Kluyveromyces lactis: one gene and its partners. The main gene of each other region encodes a partner of the protein of the gene in region 4 in a complex. Links are inferred from orthologs where the notes say so. Each region holds a gene or a part of one and is shown on either strand. Other genes may lie near its edges. The genes, in order: KLLA0_E19933g, DEP1, PHO23, SIN3, CTI6, ASH1 and RXT3.

The links.
Region 1: SIN3 (region 4) and KLLA0_E19933g share a complex: the UniProt entries of both Saccharomyces cerevisiae proteins name them as parts of the RPD3C(L) complex. The link is inferred for Kluyveromyces lactis from reciprocal best matches to the Saccharomyces cerevisiae genes SIN3 and DOT6.
Region 2: the proteins of SIN3 (region 4) and DEP1 are in contact, whole or in part, in a cryo-EM structure (PDB 8HPO), measured with the Saccharomyces cerevisiae proteins. The link is inferred for Kluyveromyces lactis from reciprocal best matches to the Saccharomyces cerevisiae genes SIN3 and DEP1. Residues at the interface, in NP_014639.1 of Saccharomyces cerevisiae: Pro643, Ser644, Val648, Val649, Pro650, Glu651, Pro652, Thr653, Glu654, Pro655, Ile656, Glu813, Tyr817, Tyr820, Val835, Asn836, Glu839, Lys869, Val870, Tyr871, Asp872, Arg875, Glu878, Ile879, Glu885, His886, Thr890, Pro892, Val893, Leu895; in NP_009389.3 of Saccharomyces cerevisiae: Asp297, Val299, Ile300, Pro301, Asp302, Val303, Asn304, Tyr305, Tyr322, Leu356, Ile359, Arg362, Met363, Asn366, Asn367, Ile369, Ser370, Leu372, Glu373, Gly374, Lys377, Tyr378, Phe379, Phe382, Pro383, Gly384, Ala385, Pro386, Leu388, Asn389.
Region 3: SIN3 (region 4) and PHO23 share a complex: the UniProt entries of both Saccharomyces cerevisiae proteins name them as parts of the RPD3C(L) complex. The link is inferred for Kluyveromyces lactis from reciprocal best matches to the Saccharomyces cerevisiae genes SIN3 and PHO23.
Region 5: SIN3 (region 4) and CTI6 share a complex: the UniProt entries of both Saccharomyces cerevisiae proteins name them as parts of the RPD3C(L) complex. The link is inferred for Kluyveromyces lactis from reciprocal best matches to the Saccharomyces cerevisiae genes SIN3 and CTI6.
Region 6: SIN3 (region 4) and ASH1 share a complex: the UniProt entries of both Saccharomyces cerevisiae proteins name them as parts of the RPD3C(L) complex. The link is inferred for Kluyveromyces lactis from reciprocal best matches to the Saccharomyces cerevisiae genes SIN3 and ASH1.
Region 7: the proteins of SIN3 (region 4) and RXT3 are in contact, whole or in part, in a cryo-EM structure (PDB 8HPO), measured with the Saccharomyces cerevisiae proteins. The link is inferred for Kluyveromyces lactis from reciprocal best matches to the Saccharomyces cerevisiae genes SIN3 and RXT3. Residues at the interface, in NP_014639.1 of Saccharomyces cerevisiae: Asp701, Glu704, Lys729, Lys731, Cys732, Ile733, Glu734, Asn735, Ile736, Val737, His738, Glu739, Lys740, Arg742, Leu743, Val787, Trp788, Ala789, Ser790, Gly794, Phe795, Phe935, Asp939, Gln947, Ser950, Ser953, Ser954, Val957, Asp958, Thr960; in NP_010207.1 of Saccharomyces cerevisiae: Tyr62, Asp63, Pro65, Asn66, Val67, Ser68, Ser69, Ser71, Val72, Phe75, Tyr80, Tyr91, Arg94, Phe95, Ser104, Thr105, Ser106, Arg110, Phe113, Asn120, Thr121, Pro128, Ala129, Ile132, Gln133, Thr144, Glu146, Asp147, Glu156, Cys168.

The regions. Positions count from the first base shown.
Region 1 is NC_006041.1:1,774,034-1,777,523, reverse strand, and holds KLLA0_E19933g (SANT/Myb-like DNA-binding domain-containing protein), read left to right. Parts: upstream 1-1,238; coding exon 1,239-2,990; downstream 2,991-3,490. Other genes in the region: KLLA0_E19955g (3'-5'-exodeoxyribonuclease), read right to left, coding at 1-307. UniProt on the Saccharomyces cerevisiae protein: Component of the RPD3 histone deacetylase complex RPD3C(L) responsible for the deacetylation of lysine residues on the N-terminal part of the core histones (H2A, H2B, H3 and H4).
Region 2 is NC_006042.1:735,792-739,374, reverse strand, and holds DEP1 (Rpd3L histone deacetylase complex subunit DEP1), read right to left. Parts: upstream 2,322-3,583; coding exon 501-2,321; downstream 1-500. Other genes in the region: rRNA-processing protein NOP12, read left to right, coding at 3,098-3,583. UniProt on the Saccharomyces cerevisiae protein: Component of the RPD3C(L) histone deacetylase complex (HDAC) responsible for the deacetylation of lysine residues on the N-terminal part of the core histones (H2A, H2B, H3 and H4).
Region 3 is NC_006039.1:1,143,160-1,146,196, forward strand, and holds PHO23 (Pho23p), read right to left. Parts: upstream 1,677-3,037; coding exon 501-1,676; downstream 1-500. Other genes in the region: Ras family GTPase RAS1, read right to left, coding at 3-17; CRC1 (carnitine:acyl carnitine antiporter), read left to right, coding at 2,760-3,037. UniProt on the Saccharomyces cerevisiae protein: Component of the RPD3C(L) histone deacetylase complex (HDAC) responsible for the deacetylation of lysine residues on the N-terminal part of the core histones (H2A, H2B, H3 and H4).
Region 4 is NC_006039.1:542,990-547,080, reverse strand, and holds the start of SIN3 (transcriptional regulator SIN3), read right to left. Parts: upstream 2,801-4,091; coding exon 1-2,800. Other genes in the region: DNA-directed RNA polymerase II core subunit RPB11, read left to right, coding at 3,477-3,842. UniProt on the Saccharomyces cerevisiae protein: Catalytic component of the RPD3 histone deacetylase complexes RPD3C(L) and RPD3C(S) responsible for the deacetylation of lysine residues on the N-terminal part of the core histones (H2A, H2B, H3 and H4).
Region 5 is NC_006041.1:1,669,785-1,672,763, reverse strand, and holds CTI6 (Cti6p), read right to left. Parts: upstream 1,842-2,979; coding exon 501-1,841; downstream 1-500. Other genes in the region: VPS45 (Vps45p), read left to right, coding at 1-423; APM3 (Apm3p), read right to left, coding at 2,168-2,979. UniProt on the Saccharomyces cerevisiae protein: Component of the RPD3C(L) histone deacetylase complex (HDAC). Responsible for the deacetylation of lysine residues on the N-terminal part of the core histones (H2A, H2B, H3 and H4).
Region 6 is NC_006038.1:232,097-235,435, reverse strand, and holds ASH1 (DNA-binding transcription repressor ASH1), read right to left. Parts: upstream 1,884-3,339; coding exon 501-1,883; downstream 1-500. Other genes in the region: MTR2 (Mtr2p), read left to right, coding at 3,026-3,339. UniProt on the Saccharomyces cerevisiae protein: Component of the RPD3C(L) histone deacetylase complex (HDAC). Responsible for the deacetylation of lysine residues on the N-terminal part of the core histones (H2A, H2B, H3 and H4).
Region 7 is NC_006038.1:261,955-264,784, reverse strand, and holds RXT3 (Rxt3p), read left to right. Parts: upstream 1-1,364; coding exon 1,365-2,330; downstream 2,331-2,830. Other genes in the region: RPL31B (60S ribosomal protein eL31), read right to left, coding at 452-508. UniProt on the Saccharomyces cerevisiae protein: Component of the RPD3C(L) histone deacetylase complex (HDAC) responsible for the deacetylation of lysine residues on the N-terminal part of the core histones (H2A, H2B, H3 and H4).

The DNA of each region.
Region 1 (3,490 bases), on a different chromosome or scaffold from region 4:
ATCCGGTAATCAGCAGCTTATCCACATTAGTCAATCTACAACGGTTCAATATATTGGATAAATCCGTCTCGTGCTGCTTCTTGCCATGGTATTTCCCTTTGAACATGTGATCAGAGATATTGAACCCAATGTCAAAGTACCTTATCTGTTTCAAACCTGTCATCTTCTGAAGTGCTCTGGACATATACAGTGTAGAAGCTGTTTCACAGTGATATACAATGGCCATAATGAACCGAAAATATGCCAAACAAACAGGAAGTCCTTTTATCGTTCTGAAGTGGGATGAGTTGCATATCCTCTTGCGCATCGTGAGATGGCTTGTACAGAATTTTCGAGTGTTACCCGGATGTAAGGTTAAGCTCCACTCTGTGACTCAAGTCCGCATGGAAACATTCACAGACCGTACATGCCACACGATGTCCAAAAATATCGTGTAATGGGTATCTTCCGAAGCCTATCCAATGGCCTACCAACGCACTTATCACCTCCCGGAGTGCATCCCCCTACCTCCCATAAGCTTATTTTGACACATTCTACACACTACTGCAATAGCTTTCCGAAGGCGTAGACTAACGCACCAGTCCCAAACCAACCGGGGAACCCCATTTGCAAGAAGTACACAGACGAAAAAAACAAAAAAAGACACGTGAACGGTAAGATACAGGACCCTCACTCAGTATACTCACATCACATCTCATCTCTTCTCATCTCACCTGTCACCTCATCTCATCGCTGTCACACTGAAAAAATTCGAAATTTTTTTTTTTTCCAACTCATCGCGACGAAGAAAAAGCCACTAAACTCGACCTCATCGAGTCTTGTCATTTAACTTGACACTCTTTGTTTCCTAGGCAGAAACCTGTCTTTATTGGTTCAGTACTCAGTCTGACCTCAGTGATATCGACTCAGAGCATAACTGTCAATACGTTAGTTTATTGTTAGCCGATTTTGGAAGGAATTTAAGGCGATTTTTTGTTGTTTAAAAAGAAAAATCGTTCATAAACTACTGTCGGTTTTATTTTGGACCGTTCAAAATTTTTATTCCCTCTCGTTGTGTTAATGAGAACAGGTCTTTGAGCTAGAGAATTAGAGCTATTAGAAAGCTGTTACTGTCGTTTTGATTACATTTCGAAAATTTTTGAGCTGAATTTTGGTTTTACTGCTCTAAATAGTGGATTTTGTTTTGGTTGCTGATACTTTACAATTATAACTCACAATATTTTTAAGTGAAAGGGTAGATGACTGCACCAAAAAACGTTTCCAGTAGGACTCCGAGTTCGTGGGAACCTCAGGACGATGTCTTGTTGCGACACTTGAAAGAGGTGAAAAGACTGGGATGGAAGGATATTGCTCAGTATTTTACGAATAGAACTCCTAACGCGTGCCAATTTCGGTGGAGAAGGTTAAAATCTGGCAGTTTAAAGACGGTGAAGTCGCCAGAGGAGGAGGATGAGGAGGAGGATGAGTTGTTAAATGTGACTGTTCCAGTACTTGCTCCAATGGCTGTTTCTGCAGGACCTACGTTGAGCGCGGAATCTTTAAACACTGGGTCCTCTTCGACGGCGAAGAAGAATACGGCAAAGAAGTCTAGTTCTACGGGACCGATGCCCATGCCCATGCCAATTCCGACCTCAAAAGTTACCAATAGTGCCGTTCTTTCGTCACCTCATGGGTTGAATGGTAGTGGGAGTGCTACTAATAATAACAATAGCAACATGGGTGTTTTTTCGTCATCTGCTGCTACAGCTGGATCTAGTGTCCTATCGGTAAACGGACTTGCACATTCCGGATCGTTGTCCAAGTCTCCGTTCTCTACTGCTTCTCCTGCTCCTCATGGGAAATTTATAAAGCCCAGGTCTTCCTCTCATTCACAGGACGCCCCACCAAATATGCCCCATTTCAATGATCAAGAGGAAAATTTTGGTTTTATTCCAAAAGTCTTCATCAAGAGTAGACGTGGTTCCGCGGTCGTTGTGAATAACACTCCACAATCGAACTTGCCAAACCTGGCCAGTACGAAATCAAGGAAAAATTCCTTCTCCTCGCGCTCCAGACGTTCCTCTTTCAACGTAGCATCCGACAGGCATTTCATCCCAATGTCTTCTAACGGATCTTCTAGAAGATCTTCCGTTGTTGTCATGCCTTCATCAACTTTGCCCGCATCTTCCGCGAATCCAAGGAGAGAAAGCTTCACGACGAATCCATCTATGTCTAGAAGGAACTCTGTCTCTCAGTTTAGACGTGAGTCTATGCAAGCAGGTTTCATTGATATGCCCATAAAACAAAGCTCTCAACCCCCTCCTTCATCCGTATGTGCCGTTGGATCATTCAATGGCTTTGCAAAACCTTGGTCTGGCGATGAGGATAAGTTGTTGGTAGAAAAACGTCAAAGGTACCACTTGTCCATTGATGAGCTTTCAATCTTGTTACCTCATAGATCAGAACAAGAGATCCAATGGAGAATGGATTCGTTACATATAACGCCTAGCGATGCAGTTAGTACTGCTAGTCCTTCCGCCAATGTTAATCAATCGAGTTCTTCAGATGAGGTCCACTCTACTTACTCACCAGATACTGCCGTAGAGGAGCATGACGACATTGACGATGTTGATGTTGATGTAGAGATTGTTGGCCGCATGGAAGACTCTATTGCCCCAACTCAGCTAAGAGATGAATCTCCTACGTTTTCTCAAACATCTTCGACTGGTTCTTCCGCTCGTGAGAGATCGCCAGTGTTTTCACCGGACGCTCATTCCTTGAGAGACCATTCTCCAACTATTTCTGATGTGAACAACTCATCTTTTTATGGCAATAGGATGCCTGCCAGCGTACCGAAGCAAATTCTTCAAACACAGGCTAGTAATGAACAAACGCCCCAGTTCACTCCGAATTCATCGCAATCTCCTCAACCACCACAAAACCATCGACTACCGCAAGTGCCAACTCAGCCACTGCCTAGTTTGAATACGATATTCAAGCACATTGTTTGATGATAAACTGTCTGTATTAATACCATTATCAAGAACCAAAAACTTAAAAAACTACTTTACAAACCACTTTCAGACATGTATGAACATGAACCCCGAAGTGTATCGTGGCGCCAGTCGCTGCTACTTCAATCATCATTGTCGTTGATTTACTATCACATAAACGCACACACTTTCCTGATTATGACCCCATTGTACAAGTACTATAACTACAATAGAACATCAATAATACTGTTACAGTGTTATCTTTATGCCAAATCATTTGAACTGTACCATATGGTTATTTTTTGTCATAATAATGTCCCTATTCAGTTTATTATAGCAAAGGGACACGGGCTGCTCCTTTTGCATAAACACTTAAATGAAAAGTGCGTACTATTACGTTGTTTTGTTATTTACATTTTACTGCTATATCAATGATGGCATTAATTTTCGCTATTCTTACAATCATATACATATATACATGCATATATTAGATATTACACTATTATCAGTTTTCTTCT
Region 2 (3,583 bases), on a different chromosome or scaffold from region 4:
TTATAGAAAAATATCATCGGGTTGGATACGGTTTATTATAAGTTTTATTTCTATCCTGGTGTCTTAATAAAATAAAGATATTTCGCTTCACATTGGAATCTGACCAATTCATCACAACCTTTCCTCACTTCACAAGGACTACTATTTTTGGGGTTTCTTTCTCATCTTTTTATTATTTACGCTTTTATCTCTACCAACGTCCAACAAATGTTTAATTAGTAGGAAGTATATCTTCTATTCCATATATAACATACATCTTTGTATATTTTAAAATATCAAGGTTTCTCGAATTCACAGATGTCAATTCGAATACACTTTCATATCGTGGAAATGTTAAAAGTGCTATACATATACACAGTCATGCATATATTATACTTGTAAAGATTACACATCATAACAAAACGATAATTAAATGATGATTCATCAAGATGACATTTTATTGACTATTGATAAGAGCGTGTTTTCTGGTTTTTGGAGCACCTAGTGAAAAATTATATGACCTATTGTTGATGCTGTATTCCTGCAAGATCCTCATGAATTTCAGAATCTTTTAAACCACCAAGTTCAGGAGCACCTGGGAATCCTCCATAGAATTTCCTTATACCATCTAAGTCGCTCAATTCATTATTAAACCTCATTCTGTCTACAATGACTTCTAACTTATCGACAGGGTTGTTATGATATCTGAAATTGATATTTTCACATAATAAATCTTCTGATAACAAGTCGCCTGGACGTCTCAGATTGGCAGGAGCTGCGTATCCGGTTATACAACTCAAAGATTTATTTGAAATTTTTATTGGAACGTGATAATTTACTTCAGGTACAACAACGTCCATTTCACGTCTCTCTTTATTGATGTCATACCACTTCTGGGTTGTGTTTCCTAATAACTTATGTTTCAAATCTGAGACCTTTCTGTAGAAATCTTGATGAATAAACGTTCTTGTCGCCCTAGTTTCGGTATCTATGCACTCCAGCTCATACTTTTGCCTTTGGTACATTCTCTTTAGCTTAAAGTCCCGTATCGAAGCAATCTTCTGATAATAAGTCTGTAGTTGAGGATGTGATCCATCTAGACACATCTGTAGCTCATTCTGTAATTTGCTCAGCTTGTTTTCATATAGACTCTGTCGCAATTGAGCAAATTCGACTTCAATATTTGTTAGTTCTGCCAAAGCGTCTTGTCTTATCCTTTCCTTCTCCATGGGCGATAGTCCATTATCGGTAGAATCGACGCCAGGTGTATCTGTCTGTTGTTTCTCATCATTATCTTCTTCTACTGCGTCCATTTCGGGTTCTAATTCTTCCTCTTCATCCTCATTATTGTCCTCAACCTCACTTTCTAGAGTACCATCATCCTCAGCTTCTGCATCCGCGTCGATATCAACATCATGATCTCCGTTTTCATGCGTTTCATGCTCGTCTTCATAGTGACCTGATTTTGACTCAGTAGGTAATTTCGGTTTCTTGAACACCTGTTCAGACTTGACATGCTCCGAGCCGTTCTCTAGGGACTGTTGCTCTTCTTCACGGTTATGCTTTAAAGACACTTCTGATTCTTCTTGCGATTTGATCTCGTTATCATTCGCCTGCTCCTCTACTACCGGAGCATGCTGTTCTTGTTCATCGTTTGCAATTGTTTCTTCTTGACTGCCTCCTTCGGCAGGTACAGATACTTCGTCCTGGTTTTGGCTTAGTGCAAGTTTATTTGGCTCTGTTGTATGATCTGTATCAGCAACAGCGTCATCTTCATACGGTACTGGTTCAGGTTCTGTTTCGGCTGGTTTATCTTGCTGAACGATTGGTCCCTCATCTTTTGAAGGAGTAGCAAGTTTAGGGGCAGATTCTTGAATATAACTACCGACACCATTATTGATGTACTCTTGTTTTACAGTCTTCGAAAGATTATCATCATTTTGTTTACTTTTGTCATTACCGTTACTTTCAATCGAATTGGATGCCATTTCCGATAGTTTGACACGTGATTCGTCCTCTTCTAAATCCATCTTTTCGGTCTCAGCGTCTGATGAGATGTATATGTCCGATAGAGAGACTGAGTTTGGATGTTCTGGAGAAGTGACCTTAGATAATCCACTGGTACTGTTATCGTCGTATTCTAATGTACCAACCTTTGAGGGACTCCCTGATTTCGATTTCCTTGAATAACTATTTGCGTTAAAATTAACAGAATCAGAATCCGAAGCAATCTTCTCTAAAACTTCTTTGGTAAGTTTCGTAGTGGGGGCAGATCTGGTATTATGATCGTCAATCTCACTCGCAGCCTCTACACTGTTATTTTTGTTTCTCTCTGGCTCCATTTGAATGATTCAAAGATAGTACCGTTTGAATTCAAAAAGAAAGAAATCCCAACGCATATAACCAATACAACCTTTGTATTACTCCAATCGGCTGATGGCAAAGAAAAAACACTTAGCTTATACTCCAATGCAGAAACACACAAAATTTAACCAGCAAACCGTTTAATATGCGCAGTATAAGTTAAGAATTGCTGCTTGAATAGATTGAAAGTTGATACCTGACACACTAAAACAAAGGGCTGCAAATATACCTTACTTCGCGTAATTCTTATTTTTACTAGCAAAACAGTTATCTCTCTCTATTCTTAGTAGTACACAATATTTTAAATCACGTTTGGATGAGATCTATGTATTGATTGCTGACTGGCCATAACTATATGTTCATGCTAAAATCAGACTGTATTTTTATTCTTAACTTATATTTCGGCATTTCAGCACTATTTACAGTTTGTACGTTTTTTAAGGAAAAGGAACATGATGTTACCCGGCCATATAGTACATTCCACGGTGTTAATCACGTGACTACGATACATTCGATTTGTCCATAGAGCGTACGCTTTTCTTCCGCATTTCTTTTTGGTGGTAAATTCATGATTTCTGCTGGCTTTTCTAGGAAGTGCAGGTTTTTCACTTTCGATAATTCAACAGACAAATGGATAAAGCTCATCGCATCGAAGAGACTTGGACAGCCACCAGCAGGTTTAGTGCAGAGGAATAACGTTTGTGTTGGTGAACCAGGGTCTTTCAAACATAACAAACCAAAATTATATTACGGGATGTCCGCATTGAACAATTTATTTGGAAATTCCAAATCAGACGCGGCAGGTACATCATCGATTGCAGCGTTATTCTCCAAACCTAATCATGTCGATGAGCGTAAAGTAAAGTCGAAAGCTAGGACTGTGCTAACTGAGCCTGAACAGGATAAGGATGAACAAGAAGAAGAGAATGTCCAGGAAAGTGCTTCTACTGTCTCCGAAGGAGTAGAGAAAGAACAGGAAGAACAGGAAGAACAGCCGAAGAAGAAAAAGAAGAAGACCAAGAAGAATGATGAAGAGAATGATAATTTGGAAGTTCAATATTATTCTAAGGTATTAGGTGATTCTAAATCTAAAGATGAACCTAAGGATGAACCTAAGGACGACTCTTCCGATAGTGATAATGAAGATGAAGCAACTGCAGTCGATAAGTCTTCGATTACCGGCACGGAATCTGAATCTGCTAAAGTTATCAATTTGAAAGAAAAGGAACTAGCCAAGGCT
Region 3 (3,037 bases), about 600 kb from region 4:
ACTTTATTTAACGACATTTCGCAGTGTACAAATGTAAATCCCTCACTATTTTAATCTACAACGAGGTCCCTCTTTTCCCTATGATATGAGCAATGATTGTGCATAGGTGTTGTCAACGTACATAAGTAGAATTTAACAAAGCTTATTATTATAAGGTACAACAAAAATTTTTTTTATTTTTCTAAATTTTTATTTCAAATTCGGTAAGTATGCGAAAAGAGACAGATTACATGAATTGAAGGAACCCTTTTTTTCTCATCAATACGATGCTGCTGCTTGCTTATTATTATTTCTTTCGACAAGAAATGGAAATGGAAATAGAATTTCCCAAAAAAATGATGCTTGACCAGATCAATTATATTCTCAGTAGTTGCTGAGATCGAGGTTGAATATCTCAAGGGTTTTTTTCCTTTTGCATTTATGCATCATGAACTGAGTGACGAGACAGTGATATATATTATATTTATTTCCGGTGGTAAATATTATGTTGGTGCAGCTAGCTAATTCTTTTTCAAACAGTCATCGCAGTACCATTTCCCTTTAGGTAGCGTTTCCAAGCCAATGCAGGGAAGATGGAACCATTCTAATTGACAGTTTTCGCCATCACATCCAACCATTTCTCCGTATGCGACCTGATTACAGTAACAATACAGTGCTTCTCCATATTCGTTGATCTTTGGTCTGTTTTGATACTTATTTGATGCGTTGACTGCATTTACAGCTGTCGTGTTACTCCCGGTAACGCCATTGTTAGCAGCCGTGGTGTTTACTCTTTTTTTGTTCCTTCTTTGTGCGGCAGTACTATTTGCAGAAGAGTTGTTATTGTTTGAACTAGATGTTGAGACAGTAGTTGTCCCGTTGTTATTTCTCCTTTTCTTAGTGTTCGCTGGTTGTATATCATCTGCATGAGAATGGCTATTGTCATTATGGTTGTGGTTATGCGCATTTCCGTTCTTATGACCTGCCATAGTGGAAGAGCGGTTGTGACCATTTGTTTGAGTGTTTGCTCCTTGGTTTGGAGCATTTCCATGTGATCCTACCGCCGCAACTACTGGTTCTGATCCTGCGACTGCTGTGGAGGCACCGGTTCCAGAAGTTGAAGTAGAACCAGCTGTGGATCCGACAGAACCTGAATTTGCCGTTCCAGCAGCGTTCCCACCTTGAACAGCAGTTCCCCCAGTTGTCTTCTTTGCAGCCATGGCTTCTCTACGGGATTCACTTTTCAGTGCTTGTTGAGACTTCGTCATTACATTTGATTCGACCTTAGCCATAAGCTCACGATGCAAATGCATCGCTGGATGGTTATCGTTACCTAGTCTTAACTTCTCTGGAATCTCTTGATTGGAAATAGCAACCTCGTAGGCTAATTCCAACCTGTCCGTTAACCTTTCTAAAGAATCGTAGGCTATAGATGAAACATGCATCTTCTCTTCCAATGACGGGATCAGCTCTTGAAACCATTGGTTTATCACACGTAGAGGAACCTTGGACTCATCAGGAACGTTTCTCCCACCAAGGAATCCTTTAATGCATTTATTTAGTTCAGGAATTATATTAACGCATTTAGCATCAATTTCATAGAGTAGAGTCATGTACCGTGAAACGTCTAATGGCACCTCTTCCAATACATCACTAATATCATTAAGACCAGGGTATAAATTTGCAGGTGCTGCCATATCTTGAGTTGTATTGTCTATGTCTCGCTATCGTGATATGTAGTACAGCTTGTGATTCCTACTGGATTGAGAGATCTTTTGAATCACACAAATGTCAATACACTACATACAACATGTAATTGTATTGCGTGCACTTATCCGGTATGCTAAACAATTCTAGTTACCTGACCTAAAAGAAAAGGTATAAATTTGATATTCAAAGCTTTTAATAAGACTAAGCGAGAACCTGAAGAAAAGAAAAATAGATCACGTGAAAATTATTATCACGTGATTGGTATTAAATAATCGTTTTGGATTCTAAGTAGGTTATACAATGGAAAGCTCGGGGTTTGTTTGATTACGATCATCCGTGAAACCCTGTCCGCAATCTTTTGTTTATGTTTTTTGTTTTCACTGTTGTCTCCTTCCACCTGTGTCACATTTGTCACTTCATTTCCCCCGCTCTAAATAGAAAAAAAAAAGGCGATTAGAATTTTGCTGACACTAAATCCTGTCGGCATCGGGTAAAATAAGGTAAAAAGGGAATATGTATCAGAAATAATGAATGGATCACGCAGGGAAACAGCCGCAGGGATCCCGTGCGAATTTGGAGATGTTCCAGCACATGACCTTGTACTTAAATTGTAGAGTATCTGTTCTTTCATTTGTTGTCATGCATTCAGGGCTGATTCTATTTCTAACGGCCAGTCACACAAAATGTTGTACTGATTCCTTGTATCAATCCTAGATTATCTCTACAAAGTCCGTTAACTTGAGAATTTTTTTGGTGATGACTATAATGATTCACCAAGAAAGTCACAATCCTGGACCAAAAGAAAATCCTGAATGTTTGATGATTATGATGATGATATGATGTTAATGATCAGCAATATCATGGCTAATTACTTTCATGAGGAAGAGAAACGTTTTTTTTTTTTTTCGTAGATATATAAATCACAGCCTTTCGGTGCAAACCTGAAGCATACACTTAGATAAGAAGAACATTCAGTACCGAGGTATATGAAATTGGTCTGATCAAAGTGCACCAAAGCTAACGTATATATATACAGTATCACTTCGACGAACACTATTGAAAAGGGAAAAATGAGTGACGCCTCCATTGAAATTGAATTGGAAACATCGCATGTTAATGATGTTTCCCAAACAAAGTCACAATTAACAGAAAATTTGAAGTCATTAGCTGCAGGCGGTGTTGGAGGTGTTTGTGCAGTGTTGACCGGACATCCTTTTGATTTGGTGAAAGTCAGATGTCAATCAAACCAAGCACGTAGTGCCATGGATGCAGTCTCACATATTCTACAAGCTGCACGTCAGGCAGCCGGTCCTACTTCTTTGAATGCAGTGCGTGGGTTTTATAAAGG
Region 4 (4,091 bases):
CTCTTCTCCATTCTTCATCCTTTTGCTTTAATCTTTTCAAAACAATGGGCACTGTGACAGCTGGGTGCTCGTGTAAGGCGTCAATAATCTCAAAACCTCTGTCTTTATCGTATACTTTTCTAACGACTTTCTTATAAATTGTTAGGGAAGTATGACCCAATCCAGGAGGAAGCTTGAAATTGTTCTTTTCCTCGTTGGTCATGTTTGCAATTTTATTAGCAATCGTTTCCAAGGTTTGAATTGTTCTTAAATTGGACTCGATGTAGAAATCATATTCGTGCCTTTCTTCTTCTACCTTGAAGAGTGTGTCCTCATATTGATTCTTCCGATGAGCAATGAACCCAGAGTCCTCTGACGCCCACACTGGATGACCCACCCATTCATCATTCAAAACCTCCCAGCACATTTCGTCTCTTCCAGAGCATGGCATGAAGGTATCGTCTTTTGGCAATTTTTTATAACTTGGGCCGCATGCTTCGCAGAGGTCCAAGTCCAATCTATGTTTTTCATGTACTATATTTTCGATATGTTTGGGTTTTTCTTGGTAGCCAACAAAACTTTTGAACCAATCGAAAAGTTCTTTAGAGCTATGCAAATAGAATTCCACCTTCGAGACCAATTCAGAGGTTGTTAGAAGATCTTGTGAGTACAAATTAAGAATTTTCAAAAACTCAGCGTAAACTTGCTTGTTTCCAATAAACCTTTTCACTCTTTCAAAGAACGTCACTTCATCACCTAATGCAATGGCATCTTCAGGAGGTTGTATTGGTTCTGGTACGACGGGTACAAGACTTGGGTCCAAGTCAATTTCAGGTCTAGCCATAGGAGCTTCCATGTATTGCACACCTTCAAGTGGTTGAGGATAACCTGGGGCACCCTGAATGTACTCTACTTGATTATAAGTGCCATTCATGGTTGATCTCATTTCAGATACAGGAATATCCTGGTTGGACATACCTTGTGTCACAACATGTTGAGGTATCACGTGCCCACCTGCAATGTGCTGGTGCATAGATGGTAGCATATGACTATTTTCAGCCGGCGATGCTTGGCCTGAAGCAGAAAAATTTCCTAATGGAGGAAGGTTCGTCGGCTGCATTAACACTCCAGATTGTGGATAGAATCCTTGTCCCTGCATAGATTGATTTTGTTGTAAGTAAGGTTGGGGTGGGAGCATTGCTTGCTGATTTTGATCTTGCGGTAACGGTTGCTGTTTTTGCTCATGATGTTGCTGCTCCTGATCTTGTTGGTGTTCCTGTTGCTGATCTTGTTGTTGTTGCTGTGGTTCTTGTTGTTGTTCTTGTTGTTGCTGTGAAACAGAAGAGTCCGGCAAAAATTTCTTAAAATCGTCCAAGAGATCAGGGTTATTTTGGAAAAGGATCGTTACTTGAGCATAAACCTCATGAATTGGTTTCTGTTCCCTCTGGTAGGTTTGTAAGATTTCCAAGAATTGTTTATAGATATCAGGCTGGTCAGCAAACCTAGTTTTGATTTTGTTGACATAGCTTATGGCATGAGAAAATTCTACTTCGCCTGTCTTTTGCTGTCCAGGTAAAGCACCAAGCATTCCACCACCAGCTGCAACAATTTTTTGATTGACAAATTGATTCTCTAACTGTGGCGGTTGAGGCTGTTGTTGAGCTTGTCTCTGTGGTGGCTGACCTTGTTGCTGAGGAGACTGTTGTGAATGTAATTGTTGAGGTTGGGTCTGTGATTGTGGTTGCGAAACAAGCATTGCAGCCGAGGTTGCAGATTGATTCTGCAACTGATCCTGCAACTGCTGATGTTGAATTTGATCCCCATTATTGAATTGAGGTTGAGAGACCTGCTGCTGCATTTCAATATTTTGGTTTTCAACATTTTGGCCAGCTACGGGTGCTAATTGATATTGTGTAGGTGGTCCAGCAGAAACTTCACCGGTAGTTCCGAACGGTGTGGTAACTTTGATTGGATCGTTTGGGTTGGTAGAACATTCGATTTTATACCCATGAGGAAGAAAAGTATTGAAACCTTGAATCAAGTTCGGGAATCCTTGGAAAAGAGTCGTTACTCGTTGAATTACTCCAGGAGTATCGATAGCCTGAGATTTGAAGTCCTTCATAATGTCCAAGAAGTGGTTGTAGACATCCGGTCTAGAGCTGAATTGAAATTTAACCTGTTCCAAATACGATAAAGCATCCTTGACGTTCAAGGGCCTATATGAAGAATACTGAGCTTGTTGCAGTGGATCCTGTCCCACTGTCATAGCATTTTCCACCTGGACATTGTGCCCCTGAAGTAATTGCTGTTGTTGCTGTTGATGCGTAATATCTGGTTGTTGAACGATATTGTTAATTGATGGAGTAGGGATGGCGCCCTCGCTATTCGTTGAGACAGGACCGTTACTCCCGGCGGCAGAATTGATAGGAGTTCCTCCATTCTGTAAATTGATGTTATCCATTCGGTTAGAAACACCAGACAATGGTCCGTGGATGTGAGGGTGCACATGCGAATGTGAATGGGAATGAGAACGTGCGTTTTGCTGGCCTTGTACCTGTTCCTGTCCTTGACCCTGGGAGGGCTGATTTGATCCACTAATAGTAGAAATCGATGGTAGGGTCACGTGATGTTGTTGTTGATCATGTTCCGGTTTTATCTGGATGTTAACGGCGGGAGGCGCGAGCTGAGGTAACAGATTTGGACTGTTCTCACTTTGACCTTGCACACCATTAATCATTCCAGTCGATGGTGGAATTTGTTGCTGCTGCTGCTGCTGTTGTTGTTGTGGACCATCCGGTTGTTGGTTCCATGGCGCCGACATCTTTTACCCTCGAGCACGATTGCCAAATTTTGTACTAATACGATGCGTTAGATAACACGATCAAAGAATAGATGATAGCAGCGCTAATCGTGGTCGTACCTCAGAGCAGTTAGATAAGTTCCTTAATCAGAATCAAATCTCGATGATTGATAAAGAAAACAATAAAAAAAAAGGAACAGGACCAAAAAACACGTCGTGAACAATGGTGTACTCCTTAGACTATGAACTAGATACTCAAAGTACTGGTATAAGCTCAAAGCAATTACTCGATTATCCGCCCTTGATATCGCACAGAGAAGGTTATGTCTTGTCTCGTTCCCCTTTAGATTCTGCAACCGCATTTAATTTCCACTCTAAATACATACTTTAAAGAGTTCAAATGTTAAATTTCAATTTATATGTTTTTTTGAATCTTTCCATTTTGAATTTTTTTTTTTTTTTTTTTTTTTTGGTCTTGGGAACTGTCGACATTTCGGGTCAGATTCAATATCACGTGCCTGAGGGTAACCACTTTTCATTCACTGATTCTGATTGCAGTTCGCTTCTCAACATGAAAAATTCACAACAGAACTTTAAAGTGACCATAGACAACATTGTGTGGGTTTGGCAGGAGAAGGCAGCGCAATCCAGTGACAGATTCAATCAGTGGCTCCGCTAGATAATATAGAGTAACGATATGAATGCTCCAGATAGATTTGAACTTTTTTTACTACCGGAAGGTGAGTCGAAGCTTAAAGTAGAGCAAGATACCAAGGCATCCAGTGCTATTATAGTAACGTTTGAGAAAGAAGACCACACTCTAGGGAATTTGATTAGAGCCGAACTTTTAGAAGATGAAGGAGTTCTTTTTGCAGCTTATAAGGTAGAGCATCCGTTATTTGCCAAGTTTAAAATGAGAATTCAGACTGTGGAAGGATACGATCCGAAGGATGCGTTGAAGAACGCATGTAATAGCATTATCAATAAGTTGGCTCAGCTGCAGTCTAACTTCGAAACAGAATGGAATTTGCAAACGTTGGCTACTGAGGATTATGGTATGTAATAGTGTTGGAAATTGCTCAAGTGTATTAAACAAGTGTCAGGTAATTCATCTTTTCAAAAGAATTATTGAACCTCCTTCGGTTTTTCTCTATCCCCTCTTCCCTTCTATGTATTATTTTCATGAACTGTGTTGTGTTTCGGCTATAAAATAGGAGAGCGTATTACTATCCACCGTAAAGTTCAACGTTCATTGTGTATAGGACTATTTCTTTTGGGTTTTTTGGGTATTATCAGTACAGAATAGTGACCT
Region 5 (2,979 bases), on a different chromosome or scaffold from region 4:
AAACAGAGATTTGGGTCAATATTCAATAAACACAAAGCTCCTCAGGACAATGATTTGATTAGTGGATTAACCAAGAAATTCAACAGATTAGGCAGCACCAGCGCTGAAAATGTGTTTATGCAACATGTTCCTGAATTGACAACACTTCTCAGCGATTTGGATAAAAACAAGTTCCCACAAGAGGGAGTGACTCTTTTAAACCAAAATATTGACCCTAAGACATATATGCCACAAGATGTTGTTATATTGATCGTCGGAGGCCTCACTATAGAAGAAGCGCGCGCAGTACATCAATTCAATGAGAAACAGAGTAAAAATAAGGACAATTGCAGAGTTATCATTGGAGGAACCTCGATTATTTCTACAGAGCAATTTTTAACAGATGTTTGCGCCGTTAATGATAAACCAGTTGACTTATTATGAACTTACGTATGTACTTCAGATGTAGAATTAGGTAAGGAAATGTATGAAACAAGAAAAGAACACTCTCTATCATGCTTTTAAGAAGCTGGACTAAACTTTTGCTCCCAAAGCAGTAATTTCCTCGTTAGCTCATCCATCGTTTTGAAGGATTCGTCGTAACTGGAGAATATTTTATTAATATTTTCCAGGAATTCTTCGTTTTCCACAAACTGGCACAACTGATCCCGTTGACGTTGGTCATTAGATATTTCTAACTGTGTCCTTGAGATAAATTCCAGAATAGCGTTAACTCTTCTTCTCATTTCATGCATAGTGGTCCTCTGAGAGGGAATCCTGGGTTTTAGAGGCTTGTTGATTCCGATATCATTAGATTGTCCATTAGATTTCGACAAGTTTGAACTTCCAGAGGAACCCGATCCTTTTGAGCTGCTAGCTTTAGAATTCCTTGCAACTCTTCCACTTGAGGTCTTGTAAATCCTTGAGTTACTTTGCGTGGTTGAACCATTGCTCTTACCTCTTCTTGATCTTTTTGATTTGGAGTCATCTTCGGAACCTGATGGCGATGTAGATTTTGTTGTCGTTCTAGCTCGTTTTCTTGATTGACTAGCTGCTTCATCAGCTTCAGATCCTTCCACTTCTGGAGATTCCGTATCTCTAGTGTAATTCTTTGGTGAGGCGGACTTCCCTGATGCCTCTTCTTCCTTCAAAATATCTTGGTCTTCGGGATCGGTGCCATCTTTTGAAGAGCGTCTGCTTTCGCGTAGGGCTTTCTCTAGCATAAGTTGATAATGTTTCTCTTCCCTGGCACTGGATGTAGCACGTTTACGATCTGCAACCTTTTGATTTTCATCAATTGGATCAAACTCGCGCTTGGGAATATTTTCATCCTTATCTTCACCATTTCCGGAGTCCGCAATAGAATCTTCACCTTCATCCTTCGATAATTCAACATTACTACTATTTCTCCTTTGCCGAGATAATCTTTGAGATCCAATATTTCCACTAACCACTGAGCTAGAAGGAGATTGGTTCTCTAGTGAACTTCCAGCGTTTGATACTTCTCCATCCGATTCGGAGTTTCTTTTCGACCTTCTATTTTTCCTACGGCGTTGCTGAATTGGCTTGTATATTGACCTCTTCTCACCAAGATCCGTTGTGTAGAGCGAGTGTAGCTCTGGTTTACACTGCTCGCACCAATACTTATCCGGAGTTTCCTCCTCAGATATGCCCACACAATATCCATGTTGCCAAACATGGCATTGTTCACATTGAATATAAAGACCCGAATCATCTGGCGGTTCAATTTTCCCACAAATACACCGAGTCTCACCTTCATCCTCAGGCTCTGGATCAGAGTCCTCTACATACTTCTCTGGTGCAAGGTCCGTCCTTCCACGGTCCCTCGTTTCTCGCTTCATTGCTATGATTCAAGATCCCCTCTTCTCGATTATTCGTCAAATATCAGCTGCAAATCGCCCAAATTAACCGCTCTATGTCGAGATCAGTAAAAATGGCACTATAGAACAGCCCTGAAACTTCTGGAATTCACTCTTGCCCTCCGCATTGCATACATAGAAACTTTAAAACATCTGTTATCCAAGGTGGCTCTACTTATTCCTTTTAAGTCTTTAATCAGTTGGAACACTTTTTCCTCGTTCGAAAAGTACATAAAACAAAAATATCACGTGATCCAAACACATACATAAATACATACATACATATATATAAACCATTTAACGTATCATCACCTATACTCTAGCGAACCAGTCTTTGTGAGGTACTTAACACCTTTGAACGGTTTTTTTGGACCTCCATTAACTACGTCGATTGATTGAAGTTTGATTCCGGAGGGAAGCTGGGATTTGTGTTCGTAGTAACATTTGATGAAACTAGGTTGTAGTAAGGATGTTAAGTGTGAACTAGGTGGTTGAACAACCGAAGATCTACTAGATGTTTGGTCATTGGAGGCGAGTTCGGGTTCCAGTTCCGCTATACAACGTAGTACAGCCATTGAACCGCATACCATGTTTTTGTCCAAATGCCAATTAACTTCGCCACGAGTCATATTTGTTTCGACACCGCCGTGAGTGTTTCTCATGACACGTACTATTCCCTTAAAATTTCTATTCATCCTGATAGTCATGCTCATGTTTTCTATTTCTTTCACCGTCGTGCTCATTCCAACGGTGACGCGGACCTCAAATTCGTCAAGTCTTTTACCTAAACTGCTTTGTAAATTTACGTCTATAATGCCGAGGTTTGAGTCTCTTTTCACCAACGGTAGGGTATATTGACAGAGCCTAGTACGTCCATCAGGAGGTACAAACGTTAGCTTAGTGAATTTCCCAGCGATTAAATCATTTATGCTGTTCGCCTTATCCTCTAAGATGCATCTATGGAAAGTCGTGTTTAAGTGGCTAAGCTTGTGGTCTAAGAGCCCAAGTTTCATCTCAACCAATGGCTGTCCGCTGAGATGGTTGTTTAAGTCGATACAACCCTTGATATGTCCGGTTAACAGTTTCCCCTTTTCCACAATAGCGTTAATTTCCTCACTCA
Region 6 (3,339 bases), on a different chromosome or scaffold from region 4:
ATATTAAAGCAAAACGAAAGCAAGTGATGAGATATTGACGGTTCCAGTTATTTATATTTTTGATGAAGTTTTTTTTTTTTTTTTTTTTTTTTTTTTTCATTTTCAGATAGCGAACATACATCGATCTTGACGTAAATGGCATATTAATGAAAAGAAAGAAAAAATCATTCACTTTATGAAGAGGTCTGAAGCAGCTACTAAGTGCCAGTCATCAATATCAACCTATGATATTGATGCTCAAAGATCAGAAGTGTGAAAATATTAATTTACGCTACATTAGATAAATTATAGGAAGAATATATGTTTAGATTATATCATTATATTAATCAAATTAGTTAGAATTGAAGGGAAAGGGAATAGTGGAAATATTATCCGGACAAACAAGGGAAAAGAGAAGTAAGTATTTATAAATGCAATATTAGAAGGTAAAAAGCTCCGTTGAAAGTTGGGATCAGTTAATTATGCAAGGAAGGTTGGTTTTTTTATCAGGCTTTTCTGCCCTATTCGTCAGTAGCAACGGCGTGACCGCAGAACAAACATGCTATTTTGTAATCAGTATTTCCGTCAGCGTCCTCAATCGAAACTGGCTTGTTTGATTTCATAAGTGTCAATTCACCTTTTGAAGGTATTTTACGGCAAGTTTCATTGGTGCATCTTGTATGGGTCTTCTTATAACGGAGCCCACAAGAATTACAAAGCTGATCTTGTTTGCTTTTAGACCAAGAAGGTCTCCAACACGGGGAATCTGTAATGTGACATGAAACGCAAAATCTATGAGAGTTACGCCTTTGTGTTGGAGAGCTTTTGGGAGATGTTTGGACTAGCTCTTGGTCGGTGTCGTCTTCTGAGTTGGAGTTCGCCGAAGTCTTTTCGCCGAAATCCTCCACGCTGTTGATCACAATAGGATGAAATCTCTGTTGGGGAGATTGAAGAGATTTTGGAGTTGTGGATAGTGTAATCTTCTTTTGTGGAGGGGTCTTTGGTGGTGCAGGATTAGCCTTAAATACCGACTTTTGTGATTCGAATTTGTCTTCATATGTAAGCAATATGCGTTGATCCAGCATCTTCTTCAGTTTTCTTGCTTTAAAACTGTTGGTCTTCTTATGTTTTGAGGAACGGTTCTTCTTTACCGCTTTAACTAATGATTCGCTGATCATAGAAGTGAATTGTCTGGGAGGACTACTTGGTGGGGTTACCAGTACTTTGCTGGAGCTTGAAGTGTTTGAAAGTTGATAGAATTCATCTGGTGAAGTATTGATCGATGATATTCTAGCAGCATCGGCTAAAATATTTAATCCATGAGTAAAATTACCAGCTCTTGGATTAGCTTGAGATACCTGATCTGTAATGTTTTGGTACTGAGTGTAATTAGTTTCCTTACACCACTCTGTTAAGTTTTGCCTCCATAGAGGCGTGGAGGCACAAGTGTCTGGATAGAGGTACGAAAACTCTTGTATTTTAGGATGTGCCAATAACTTTAGATGCTTTAATGGTTGTAGTGCTGGTTGCGAGGGTTGCGCAACCTCATTCTGTAGTTGTGAACAGGAAGGCAGTTGAGTTGATTTTCCAATATTGTTACTGCTGTTGCTGCTAATGCTGCTTCCCTCACATACTGTCTGTCTCCATATGGAAGAATTAGATGAAGCGGACACTGGTGATGTAGTAGGCGTGATTTGTACGAATCCAGAAGGTGAGGCTGGCGCCGTTTTAGATTTTTTCCGGGCGTCAAAGAAATATGGCGATTCTTCTAATGTCATTGGGGCGTTCAAACTGGTACTTAAAGATGGCAATAATAGATCATCAAAGGATCTTTTTCTTCTTGCGTAGAACTTTTGCTCGGCGTGAGGATTGGTGAATGGTAAAGGGTTCGAAATAGTGGACATCGTTAGCTTGAATAGTGAAAAGGTCGAAGCGATGGGAAATGAGCTGATTCGATGCTCTATAATGGGGAACAAGTTACGGTGTTAATTGAAGTAAATTATTGATGTGTAACACAGTTGTCAGGACCAGTGTTTGAAGAGTGAAGAAATATATCAGGCCTTATAAGGATTAGCTAGAACTGTCATATATCAACCACGATACCTAATTCAGTAAAAATAAGGGGATTATCTTTCCAATCGATCTGAAAGAATTGTCCCATGGAAACCCAGATTTGGATTCTGGTTTATATACTCTAGGGATACTGAACCAATTTCAATCAGTTCAGTCCCGCAAACTTAGTAGGAATCCATATATCGATGAAACAGAAAAAAGTGTAAACAAAGAATACCTGCGCCAAACCCGCAGAGGGTTTACCGAATTTTTTTCGATTTGGCAAAAGAATTCATACTTGTTCTATGCCTGCAAAACTAAAGGGAAAGACAAAAGATATACTTCTTTTTCTCTTACCGGCTATAAAATTGATCAAAACTAGTCAACCATTGTTTACAAAATCATATATCATGTAATGGAATCGCGCAGCGATGTTCACTTAGCTTTCAGATCTCTGTTTATGTTTATTTTTCCACACCAAGTCTTGGTATCTGTTCGGCTGGTATTATGGATTTACATTTCGATGCTGGGTTTTTCATGTTTACACTTTCTTCACATATGCAAGCAGAAAATAGAATTTAAAAAAAAAAGAATACTAGTGCGCGAGGCAGCTTGACAAAAGTGCTGGCAAAAGAGACATAAGGAAAAGAAAAATCCGACTCTACAATATGTACGCTAGATATTTGCTCGAGTCGATCAGCATTTAGAGTTGTGTTTGCATGTGTTCATTTGAGAGATTTTGAAATCAGGGTCTACCTAAAATCATCAAGGAAATTACAACGCGTACATATATTGTTTGTTACCCGCATTTGATGAAGCTAGTCAATTGAATTTACCCAAGATGAAATTTGGAGAGAAGAAGACTTCTTTCCATAGATTTAATAATAAAATTTTTGATCGATGTTGAAATTAATAGTATTAAGGTAAACGTTATCAAAGCCTTCAATAAAAATCAGCAAATCTCTTTAAAGCATCATCAACTGATATTATCAAAATGAATCGTCAACCTCAAATCGTGGAGACTTTTGTGAAGAAAGTACTGGCTCATCTAGATGAGCCCGATCCAGCAAAGTTGGAACAATTCCTACAGCTATTTAACCCACATCAGTGCAAAATAATATTCAATTCCCAACCGTTTGGACAGGCAGTGCAATTCCTTCAGGCATGGCAAACTGGAGTGGTACTGACGCAGCACGTTATCACCGCGGTTGATTTCCATGTGATACCAGGTACCGGAACCTTACTATGCAATGTGAACTGTAAAGTTAGATTTGACGAAAGTGGGAAGGATAAGAACGGCCAGGATAG
Region 7 (2,830 bases), on a different chromosome or scaffold from region 4:
GTTAAGATGTTGGAAAAAAAAAGGAACATTGATCATAAGTAAAATACAGTGCGTATTCACCGATAATGTCGTCTCTTAATCGCCTGTTTCACTCGGATAAAAATCAATCATCAATATTCAAATTATTTCACATTGATAAACAAATAACCCATCTTTTCAACATTATATTCCAGAAACAAACTTAGCGTTTTCACAAGGACGTATAGCATGGTGTATATTTTCTCCACATTCTAATGATATCAAAATAAACTAAATAGACTTCATCTCCGGTCTTTAATATCCACATATTCTCCCAAAGTATCTCCATTGTGTGCAAACTTACATGCAATGTTGCATTCAAATACAGTATATGATCTTTAAACTCCCCTTCTCATTGCTCTTATCCACTTTGGTATCTATTGTGTAATTTCACTTCGAAATTTTGTTTCATCATTGGTAAAAGCTAACATACTCTTTTGTGCATGTTGATGGTGTATTCACGAGTAACGACGTCTTTCAAACCGGCCATTTTGTATTCGATAGTTCCTCAGTGTACTGCTTCGTTCTTCTCTATTAAGAACCAACACACAAATCAAATAAACAGTATCGTAAACGCCTATTAACATTCAGAAACCTCTAATTTCACCACTTACAATATAGCTTATTTCTCAGTATCCAAATAATATTTCATCGAAAATCAACACTTTCTCTCTGGTACTGGAGGGAATAGACTAGGCACTAGGCTGGAGCAAGGCAGCCAGTGGTGGGTGAAACGCCTAGTATGTCCAAACCTGGCTGGGTGGCTGCCCAGGCTGGTTCCAGTAGACGGAGGAATGCCTGCACTCTGGACAAGGAATGGTTGCCGGCTGGGGTGTAGAGCTAGAAAGGTGAATTGGCATCCTAGGCAGAGTGGGTAAACCTGTCATCGGAGGCCGCCGGGCGTTGTCAAGCGAGGTTCCTCAGGCCTGTATCATTGCTTCCCACACACAACATGTCCTAGAAATGTTTGTGTCATTCGAAGTGCGAAATGCGGAATGAAAGTTTCCTATTATAGAAAATGAAAACATAAAACTATTTTACATCAGAGTGCACGGATGTTACAGTGGAACAAATGAAGCCTCACGAATGTACGGATGTTATAACAGTCCCGTATATAGACTATTATGGTCAAACTGGTGATGAATGTTGTTAATGAAAGAATCTCCATCTGTACATCGAATACACAGTGAATTCATAATATAAATCGAGAGAAATTTACTCCTGAGCAGGGTCGATTGATACATTATTACAAGCTGAGAACTTCGCAGTGGCTCAATTGATTAGTTGCCGATTGTATAGCTGGTAAAACTTTGATTTATTCAACAGCTTTCAGCCACTGTTTGAATATGAGTGATGAGTTGTACAGAAAAACCCAAAACAGGATATACAGCATGCAAGAGACACTGCTGAATAGTTCTAGGGAGTCCAAACAGGCCCGAGATCAGGATACGGGTAAAATCGGATCATCATCATCAGAAGAAGCAGTTGCTGCACCGGCTAATACACAGAATGTTGCAGATGAAAGTTCCCAAACAGGGGAACCTGAAAACAACACTACCCTTGAAACTGCAGCTCCAGACAGCAAACCTGAAGATGACGAAGACGAAATAGACGTAAACTCTAAATCTGTCCTTGAATATACAGAGAAGAATTACGCACTACAGCGGCGCCCTTTGGCCACCTTGGAGTACGACTCCATGAGAGTTGGTGTTTTTCCTGGGGATCCGAAATTGGAAGCCCTTCCATTCCCTTATAATTTCAAGACCATCAGATCTCCGAGACCTTTTATTCCAAGGATGTCTCATAACCATATCAACTCAATCCTTACAATACAGATCGATTCCATATATTTACAACAAGTGGCCCGTAGTGAGAACATACGGTACCAAAACCGAGAGATATGGGGCACAGATATATATACCGACGATTCGGATATTATATTAGTACTTCAACACTGTGGAGTTTTGCCATTTTCTGAACCATTGGATCAAAACAGCAATGGCAAGCCATCCAATGTTCACTCTTTGAAAACTAAATTGAGAAGAACTCCTACAAATATGTCGGACCAAAATAGTGTGACAGGAGCAATCCCAGAACGTGAAATTCCATTTGCGATCAAAGTGGACATCCTAATGTTACCACCTCTTCAAGGTTATGCGTCATCCACGAGAAATAATATCACATCCAGAGAATGGACAGGGCAAGTCCATGACGGTTTGTCGTTCGGAATTTTCCATGTTGATATTGTGGTGATGGACAACACATTAAATGAGATACAACAATCTGACAAGACTAAGTCACTAAAGTGGTAACGCTGCATCAAGAAAAAGGCCAGCAGCCGGTATCTTCCGTCCCCCAATATATTTTCTTTCGTCATGTGTCTCGTACAAGTGACGAGAAAGTTGACTTAAATCGGTTATGTGCAAGCCGTGCGTACTGCATCGATGCGTGCCGAAAAGAATATGTACATTTGTATATGTAAAAGCGTTGTGTATAGATTACTCAACAATGTAATATCATAATAATAACTACCATTATCTCCACTGCCATGCAAACCTTCTAAACATAGAGGTCTGATATATATGCTATTTTATACGTCCCTGCAACCTTCTTTTAAATTGGTTGAAGGTTCCTTCTATTCTTTTAGTGACATTCAATAAGATTAATAATTGGGAAAAAGATTTGAAAAGACCGACCATAAGAGAAGTGTTCGAGACGTTAACGGCTACAAAGTGACCCATAAGACCCTGAATCTTGTTTCTTGGTATACTTAAAGATTAGGTTAGAGTAAGGGTCTCACTGATTCTAACTT